Kluyveromyces lactis: one gene and its partners. The protein of the gene in region 3 interacts with the protein of the main gene of each other region in a biochemical or structural test. Links are inferred from orthologs where the notes say so. Each region holds a gene or a part of one and is shown on either strand. Other genes may lie near its edges. The genes, in order: KSS1, FUS3 and KLLA0_F03597g.

Region 1 (3,186 bases), on a different chromosome or scaffold from region 3:
GTGATATTTCTCACTAGTAGCTGAGTGATCATTAGACATAAGATCCTTGAACTGGTATGATAAGATTTCATAGACTATCTCTGAAGGTAACCGCATCGTCGATGTTTCACTGATCATATTGAACGAATTATGATATGCGAGCCCCGAATAACACGTTTTATACACTTCACCAATCCTTAAAGCTATTTGCACCTGTTTTGGTGCTCTTGATGATTTCTTTAAGATCCACTTTGGTTTTCATTTTTTCTTCTATTGATGCGGGTCTTTTGTTCAAGTTCTTGTTCATTCTAATTATATCGCTACTTTATTTTTCATTTCAGGGCATAAAGTACACTTAAGGTTCATAAGGGATCAAAGAGTATGAAAAACGTGATGTGGTTATTCGTAGCTTTACTTAGTTATGTAATTAACTATATGATTGTCTAATATGAGTATGAGAATTCTTGTATTACTTTTCCTCAATTTGACAGACTAGGCGTCCTAATGAGAAGTACCCATGAAACGTAAAATCCTTGAGTCTCAGTACATTCATTCAAAGACTATGCGGATAGTTTTTTTTTAGTTCATAGAATATCGAACATATCAATTTAGAGGCTTCATAACTTCACCATAAAGCATCTTTTTCAACAGTTCCAGTGGAATATCGTCTTCCTCGTTTTTATCGCGGGCCTCGTTGTCAATTTTCCAAAAATTGTCTTCAAGGTTTAGTTGGGGATAATCTGGCTCGTCATCTGGATCATGATATGTTGCCAAATATGGATGTTCCAACGCTTCAACTGCACTGATCCTCTTGTCTGGGTTGAAAGTTAGCATCTTGGACAATAAATCGATAGCAAGAGGGTTAACTTCTTTATTTAACACATTAGCCCAGGGTATACCTTTCTTCATGGGTAGTTGAGATATGTATTCTTTTGCCCTTTTACTCTTGATTTGTTCAAAGTCTTCCAAAGTTGGAGACCCTAAAACTTCTAAGATGATCCAGAGTTGATGGTGGTAATCTTTACCTGGGAAAAGCGGCTTACCCATGATCATTTCTGCTAGTATACATCCACATGACCAGATATCCATTGCAGTTGTGTATTCTTGGAAGGACAACATGATTTCTGGAGCCCTATACCATCTGGTAGCTACATATTCTGTCATGAAACCCACCATATTCTCTCTTGATTGATCACTCGATGCCAGGCAACGAGCCAACCCAAAATCACACACTTTGAGATCACAATTGCTATTCAGTAACAAATTACTTGGTTTCAAATCCCTATGGATTACTTGTGCCGAATGTAGCGATTTTAAAGCCCTTAGTATTTGATAAACGAAATATTGGATATGATCCTCTGATAAATTTTGTTGGTTGATAATCTTCTGCAAATCCGTTTCCATCAACTCTTGTACAAGATAAACTGCTTCAAATTTATGCCATGACGTCGGACGTACTATATCCAAGACCGATATGATATTTTCATGCGAATGAAAGAATTTCAACAGTTTCAACTCCCGTAACGTCCTGGTAACAAACATCGATCTGCTAAACGGCTGTATCTTTTTAATTGCAACTTTCGTGTTTGTTGGCTTATGTATCGCAGAGCAAACTGTACCATATGCTCCCTCACCAACCAGATCTACTAGTTGATAATGGGATGGGATATCATACGTGATTGTTCGTGGCATCTCTATGCTGTTAGATCTCCGGTTTGCTTGTTATAATGATCTCTGCTATTCCACTATTATAGATTTAGTTTCCCCCCACTAAGGATTAAATATTATATATACCTATAGCGTCCAATTGCAAAACTCTGGATGGGAATCCTTTATCGTCATTCCCGAGCGTTGACTCGGCGCCTTAAGTATCCCATTGAGTTGACACAATGCGCGACGTTCCATGTCGTCCAGATAAAGAATGTTTCGTCCTTGAATCTTTGTTTCATGTTGGTGAACATTCCATCCAATCTCGAAACCTGAAAAAATGTTACCCCGGTGTCAGTCATGTGACTTATAATACACATCACTGCTCGGACATACCGCAATGCGCTTCACCGTTCAAGAAAGTGCAGTTTCACACATGTTCTGTCGGTTGTTACCACTGCGACTGAGCATAAATTGGATCCATGCGGGTAAATCTGCGGAACTCATTTCCCGATAGGTGAACTGAAAGTCATAGTTAAAGTTAACAGAGAATTGATAAGGGAATAGCTAAGACCGCAACGTGGATTTACAGATTTTTCGAGTTACCTTAAATGGTAGTTCCTCGAGAGAAGGCAACATGACTTGACTGTAAATGAGCTGGAAGTGATATCTAAGATAGGTGGGGTCGAGGCAGCGCGTTTGTCAGAATAGCATGGTTTGTCATCGGTAACATACATAAGTGAAGGGACATGGGATTGAGATTCTCTTTCCTCAGTAAAGTTTTCCAACCTAGTTTCAGTTTGAAGTAGGAAACAGCCAATTGGCAGATCACTTACTTGAGCATTCCCAGTTTCTATAGTAGAGTAAAACATCTACTGAATATATCTATAGCGGTGAAAGTCACAATTTCATCAGTAAGCTTTATTTGAGCCTGAAATTATCAAATGACATGTCTAACAAATCTCAGCCATTGATCACTGTTGTTGGTGCAGGTATTTCTGGTTTGTACGTCACGTACTGTTTGACCGAATTGTACGGCGTTCCGGGTGAAAATATCTGCATTGTGGCAGATTACTTACCAGGTGACCAGTCACCCACTGGTTATACTAGTCCATGGGCAGGTGGTGTTTGGTCTTGTATTTCACCTGATGATAAAAACGTCATGTGGTATGATAGGTTCACGTATGAGAATTTACCTACTTTAAGTGAAAAATTACTGGATTTCTACAAGGGTAAAGATGCAGAGTGGTTAGGATTAGCTCGCAGACCATCCACGGAATTATGGGATTACCAGCCTCCCAAGGCCAAGATTAATTCCTTGAGCCAATATTTGGAAGAGTATAAGGTCCTATCGAAGGAAGAACTTGCAAAATTCAAACCTGAGGGAGCCCAATTTGGTATCGCTTTCAACTCATGGAACTTCAATTGTCCAGTATTCATAGTAAACTTGGCTAACTTCTTGAAACAGAAGCATAATGTGCGTTTCTTGAAGCAAAAGTTGACTCATATCGCACAAGCAAAATCGTTTGCCAACAAAGCTTCTAAAACTGATAACGGTAC
Region 2 (3,234 bases), on a different chromosome or scaffold from region 3:
TCGCGTCTAACTGCTGTGCGCTACTCGAATCACACAATAGCTCGGACATCCCGAAACATTAATGGTGCAGCTTACTCAGTTTACTAAGTTTGCAAGGATAGAGAGGGGAAGGAATCGTATCGGGTCGTAAGAATTACTGCATGTGGCAATGTATGACTGAAGAGCATACCATAGTGAAGGAAAGAGTCATGCGTGTTAAAGTCCGGATCAATGGATTTTTTGCATTTTCGTTCACAGATTTCCTAGTGCGTGTAATTTGTTTTTCTTGGTTTGACCTTCCCTGCAACGAGGGGGCCCCTAAAACAAACAAGAAAAAATCGCATTTAAGATAATCGCAGAACGGCGGCTCCGAAATGGGATCTTTTCGTCTCAATTTCTTTTTTTCCTTTCCAAAGCACAAAACCGCATTATGTTTATCTGATGGTGTTCTTTGTTCATTTTGGAGACCTCTACACAAGAAAATGATATAATACGCTAGTGGTTACTTAGTCATTCGTTTGTTTTTGGATGGTGTGTCTCATGACACGATTTCGTTCCATAACAGCCGCTTCAAATCCTTTGTATTTAGCCGCGACTTCCATTGGTCAAATTGAAAGAATGACGAAGGAATCGGAGTTCCTTCGGGCTCGTCGTCCGGGTCATGGTACGAGACCAAGTATGGATGTGATAGCGCTTCCGTGGCAGTGATCCGTAGCCTCGGATCGAATTGCAGCATCCGGTCAAGGAGATCAAGAGCGGCTGCAGATGCATTCGGGAACCTACGCCGCCAATTGATCTTGGGATGCTTAGGTAACGAGCGAATGTACTCACGTGCACGTCTATTTTCTACTAGCTCCACCAATTCTTGTTCCGTGGGTGTCCCTAAAGTCTGAAATATCAGGATCAACTGATCTCTGTAATCTTTCCCGGGGAACAACGGTTGTTTCCCCAAGAGCTCGGCAAGAATGCATCCGCATGACCATACGTCCATGGACTTGGAGTACTGTGCAGCTGTTAACATTACTTCCGGTGCTCGGTACCATCGGGTTGCCACATACTCTGTCATTCCCGAAATTGCCGGGTCACCGTCATTAGCCGCCGATGAAGGGGAGTTATCATCCGTGTCATCAGCGTCAACATGGGCATCGCCATCTGTTGCTCTTTCAGATACAATTCTTGCCAAACCAAAATCACAGATTTTCAAATCGCAGTTGCTGTTTAACAACAAATTACTTGGTTTTAAATCTCGATGGATCACATTACTTCCATGCAGCACTTTAAGCGCCCTTAAAGTTTGGTATACAAAATACTGCACATGATCCTCACTTAGTTCCTGCGTCACGATCACTCTATGCAAGTCCGTCTGCATCAACTCTTGAATTATGTACACCTCGTTAAACTGTTCGAAAGATGATGGTTTTTGCACGTCAAATATGCTGATTATGTTTTCGTGTTGGAAATGCTTCAATATCTTGATCTCTCTTAATGTTCTAATAGAAAATAGGGGTTTCTCAAAAGGTTCGATCTTTTTGATAGCAACTATTTCTCCACTGGGTTTGTGCTTCGCTGAACATACCACTCCGTAAGCACCCTCACCGAGAAGCGACTGTAGTTGAAACTCAGAGCTTATGTTAAATACTATCCTCTTGCCCATTGTCACACTATCTATCTCTGGTTCTCTGGATGAATAAAACCAGAGCAAAAATTTGTCCACCCCTTCTTGCCTGAGAATTTATCCATATTTACCCACTTTTAGGTATGATATATATATATGTAATATCTTAAGTCTTCTTGTTTCTCACTAAATCGCCTCAAAACCTCAAACCATCGAAGTTTTCACTTTAATTGTTTGTAATTCATGAACGCGACATTCCCCATATTCCCTTAAGTACGGCCGTTTCATCTTGAAACGAGACTAATTTCTTCAGAGATAATGTGAAACAAGCTGCAACAGTTTAGGGAAAAATTAAGGTTCTTAATTATGTTCACATTCACGTGACGCGTCCTTTTTTTTCCTTCTTCCCTTTTACCAACTTTCAAATGCTCAGAATTGGTATTATCAAAATTGCTAGGAGGAAAAAATAGAATATATCGTACAGATTGTCTTTTGAACCATTGTTCAACAGTTCGTTGTAATTTTGGTCTTAGCGGTAGTTAGCTTGTGTTTCATGTATATACTCAATTACCGATATAAACGAAACCCTTTTACATTGCTTGCAGTACTTTTAACGTCTTTGTCTCATGTTTTGGTGGAATATCCTTATTTGGCTGGGGCTTTGGAACTTTCTGCCCGTTTTGGCTCAGGATTTTAAACCCAAGGTATCGTTCCATTCGGATGTAGACACGCATGGCCGCTTGTCTATCCTCGGATTTGATGATTCGAGAGTAGTTCTTAAACTTCTTCGTGGTGTTGAGCTTTATAGAAGTGAGGATAATGGTGTTACTTGGGATTCGGTGGGATTGCCCCTTTCGTCTGATAACAAACCTCAGGAATGGAATCACTTGGTACTAGATCGGATTTATAAAGCAGATGTTGCATATTTGAGTGGTGAAAACGGCGTTTTAGCTACCGGTGATAAAGGGAAATCTTGGAAACAGTTAACTTTCCTAGACGCAGATAATCATAAGATAGACTTCTCTGATTATTCGAACGTCGGCGATGAAAATCGTAAACCGATTATCAACGTTGAAATCGAGTCACATCCCACAAATAAGAATGCAAGAATTATCAATATCTATGAACTAGGTAAACTGGATGGTAAATTTACCTTAAGGCAGATTTCGTTTTATTCCAAAGATGGTAACAATTTCAAATTGGCCAGCTCTGGTTCTAAAAGTAATGATGATTCAAACCCTTTAAACATGTTTTGTTCATTCGTACAGAAATCATCAAAATCAAAACTGTACAAATTAAAAGACAAGGTAATCTGTCAGGAGAGTACCGTACTATCCCCTTTCGGAGATGTTTCCAGTAAGTTGTATATCACCGATGTTAATTTTAAGAGTTTGAGTCCGTTTGCCGAACAATTACAGGATTTGTCTCCAGCATCAACGTTCATTTCCGATAATCATCTATTTATCTTGACATTATCAGATCGGTTCAATGAAAATTCTGCCGCAAATCTCTGGAGATTGGAAGATGATAGCACTGATAAGTTTGAACAAATATCCCTTGGAACACAGATTCGTAAATCGCTAATGGACGTCAACGAAATAGATGGGAGAGCAATTATTACCATCTACCATAGAGAAAGA
Region 3 (2,911 bases):
ACAATTTAGAGGAAGATTGATCAACAGAAATTATGATGTTTCTGTTGCCAGTGTTAAATTGCTCAATCCTGGTGCACCTAAAAATAATGGTGATGATGAAGACGGGGATAATGACGATGACGACGATGATAATGGTAACAAAAAGAAAATGGGCCACGATAACCAAGATGAAAAGGGCAATCACAAACTAGAGAATGATATTGACCGTTGGAAAGAATTGATCAAATATGAATTCGAATTGATCGTCAGAGGAAACATGTATTACAGTATCCCATTCTTTAACAACCAGAAAGTACTCCCAGTACAACAGCAAATTTCTGTAGATCCAGACAACTCACCTTTCAGAAAAAAGCATGGAAATAACCATGCGCAATAGAATATAAAGGCCATTTTTTAGTCTGCCAGAAGCTTGTTTAAGTCAGACACCAAGATAACTCATCGGAAAACTTCAACCTTGGCCTTACTTAGTTTTTACAATGTCTTGTAGTATGCCACAGCAACTAATTTGCTTGTAATTATATATAATGATAACAATAAGATATACTTAAAGTACCACAAACTGTATTTTTCATGGCCGAGTTATAAGCCTTAAGTGACCCCAGCAACATCTGCATCAAGAATGTTATTTATTTACTTCTTTTTTTAGGACCTACCTGTGTCCCCAAGAAAAAGTAAAAAAAGCAGAAATGTTGAAATACTAAGCACAAGAAGTAAACTTGAAACAAGGTACCGAAACAGAGCTAAAAGTTCATTTGTCTGTTTTTATCGTCAAATAAATCAACTGCTGTAGGTCCACAAGTTATCATTGTTATTGGCATAGATTTAAACCTTCGAATTGCACGCCGGTGGGTTTTCCTCGACTTACCACACACACATTCAAGGCGGCAGAGGGGATATTTTGAACATATTAACGGGGAACGATTGTGAGATCTTAGCTACTACATTAGAGGATATTTGAGAAAAGCTTGTACAGCAATTTATTGAAATTATTGAATATTGTGTTACTTCAAAGATATAGGAAAACTAAAGCTGGTACTTGATTATTTCCCTAGACGCTGGTAACCCATAAGAAAACCGTTCTTATCTCATCTTGAATTCCTGGCCAAAGAAATTCGGTAAGAAACTTATTTGGTTATAATTATATTAAACATTTGATCATACTTGCAAGTCCTTTTCAATACCCAACACCGAGCGATATGGAGGCACCGCAGAGAATAAGTACAAGGTCACATCATTCGATGCAAAATAAAAATTCAAAGAACCTTTGTCTTCGAATAGGTGATTCCCCAACGAAAAACAAACTAATAATGGTGGATTCAAAACCAAATGAAAGCAATGATACTTTCGCAGTGCCATTGCGCCACCAGCTTACTAAACGTGTAAGTGAAGCACAGATATACACTTTACCGCCACAGCTTAAATCTGCCAGATCCACACCCTCTACACCACAATTACCGTCTGGCAGTTCGGGCTTTGATTCAGCCGCTTCACCCTCATCGTCTACGTCTTCCTCGCCTTTCAATAAACCAACACTTCCAACAATCAACACCAAATTTCACAATAGGCCGAGGGCCACGACAATTGCGACAAGTGTACCTCAGATACAGACGCCCAGTAATGATTCAATGGAAAGCACGACACGGTATTGGGTTCTTCAAGAAAATACGCCCATGTCCTCTACAAATTATGATAATGATATGAAGAGCATCCCATACAATACCCATTCTGATGAAGACTCACCGAGCTATTCAGAATCATACAGAGAGAAATATTATCCCAGTGGACCGTTACTTGTCGTCCCTCCTTTCATATATTTGTATTCTGAACCATCATTAAAAGAAGTAATGGATTACGACGTAATAATAAACGTTGCAAAGGAGATTACCAACTACAAGGAACAACTGCCTCTATCCAAGCAAGGTTGCTATTATCATTTTACTTGGTCTCATACCTCACAAATTACTAAAAACCTACCACAACTAACAGAACTAATACAGAATGCCTATGCCAGCAAAAAAAAGGTGCTAATCCACTGTCAATGTGGAGTATCAAGATCAGCTTCCTTGATAGTAGCTTACATGATGAGATACGACAAATTAAGCTTGAATGAAGCATATAATAAATTGAAGTCTGTCGCCAGAGAAATAAGTCCAAATATGAGTTTGTTATTCCAACTAATGGAATGGGAAGATTGGCTTAACAATTGTGACTCAATCAATGATAACTGTCGGAAACAGTCATTCGAGTCCATCTCGGAATTCGGTGAACTCTCTCTGTGAGATTGTATGATATAAAACGCAATTTTAGGGATACCCATACAAAGTATATAGTAGCCTAAACACTACTCTGTAATAATACGCCGCGGATCTTCTGTTTGGGCAAACTATCAAAACGTACCAAGTGATAATTCTGTTCTTAAAAACATTAAACTTTTGAAGGTTTCTAAGTTATGATATAAGGTAAATAAAGCTGGTGACAAGGGAGAATAATGCAAAGAAACCATTAGATAATACTGTCCTCCCACTTATTATACTTCGGACTTTACGTTACTCGAAGGATTCATTCAGAAGAGTGCGAATTATGGAAAATCAGAGGCCATTCATAACTTTCAAACCTTTCTGAAAAAACCGAGTAATAACCATGAGCGAACCTGTCAAAAAAAGAAGCTTGGGCAGTTATCTATCTCGTCTCGAAGAGAGAAGAGAAGAACGAGAAAGATCAGAGCAACAGCAGCGAGAAAGTCCTAAGCCAGTGGGTGAAAATGGGAATTATTCTGTTACCAATGTTCCAGTAAAGGAGGAAGAGGTATCTCAAAAGGTAACTTCAACTGATCAGAACAGTACAAAACAACCATCAGACGAACCCTATGTCGTTAGCCAAGCAAACAGCTCTGACCAGAAAGTTGGATCTC

The links.
Region 1: the proteins of KLLA0_F03597g (region 3) and KSS1 form a complex in vitro, tested with the Saccharomyces cerevisiae proteins (2 studies listed by BioGRID). The link is inferred for Kluyveromyces lactis from reciprocal best matches to the Saccharomyces cerevisiae genes MSG5 and KSS1.
Region 2: the proteins of KLLA0_F03597g (region 3) and FUS3 form a complex in vitro, tested with the Saccharomyces cerevisiae proteins (3 studies listed by BioGRID, with this or other methods). The link is inferred for Kluyveromyces lactis from reciprocal best matches to the Saccharomyces cerevisiae genes MSG5 and FUS3.

Annotation. Positions count from the first base shown.
Region 1 is NC_006037.1:217,077-220,262, reverse strand, and holds KSS1 (mitogen-activated serine/threonine-protein kinase KSS1), read right to left. Parts: upstream 1,672-3,186; coding exon 583-1,671; downstream 1-582. Other genes in the region: LUG1 (Lug1p), read right to left, coding at 1-117; KLLA0_A02475g (FAD-dependent oxidoreductase), read left to right, coding at 2,576-3,186. UniProt on the Saccharomyces cerevisiae protein: Together with closely related FUS3, KSS1 is the final kinase in the signal transduction cascade regulating activation/repression of the mating and filamentation pathways, induced by pheromone and nitrogen/carbon limitation, respectively.
Region 2 is NC_006041.1:928,388-931,621, reverse strand, and holds FUS3 (mitogen-activated serine/threonine-protein kinase FUS3), read right to left. Parts: upstream 1,634-3,234; coding exon 518-1,633; downstream 1-517. Other genes in the region: PEP1 (type I sorting receptor), read left to right, coding at 2,221-3,234. UniProt on the Saccharomyces cerevisiae protein: Together with closely related KSS1, FUS3 is the final kinase in the signal transduction cascade regulating activation/repression of the mating and filamentation pathways, induced by pheromone and nitrogen/carbon limitation, respectively.
Region 3 is NC_006042.1:340,130-343,040, forward strand, and holds KLLA0_F03597g (dual specificity protein phosphatase family protein), read left to right. Parts: upstream 1-1,196; coding exon 1,197-2,279; downstream 2,280-2,911. Other genes in the region: VAC7 (Vac7p), read left to right, coding at 1-376; HOS4 (Hos4p), read left to right, coding at 2,641-2,911. UniProt on the Saccharomyces cerevisiae protein: Dual specificity phosphatase that dephosphorylates MAP kinase FUS3 on both a Tyr and a Ser or Thr. Has a role in adaptation to pheromone.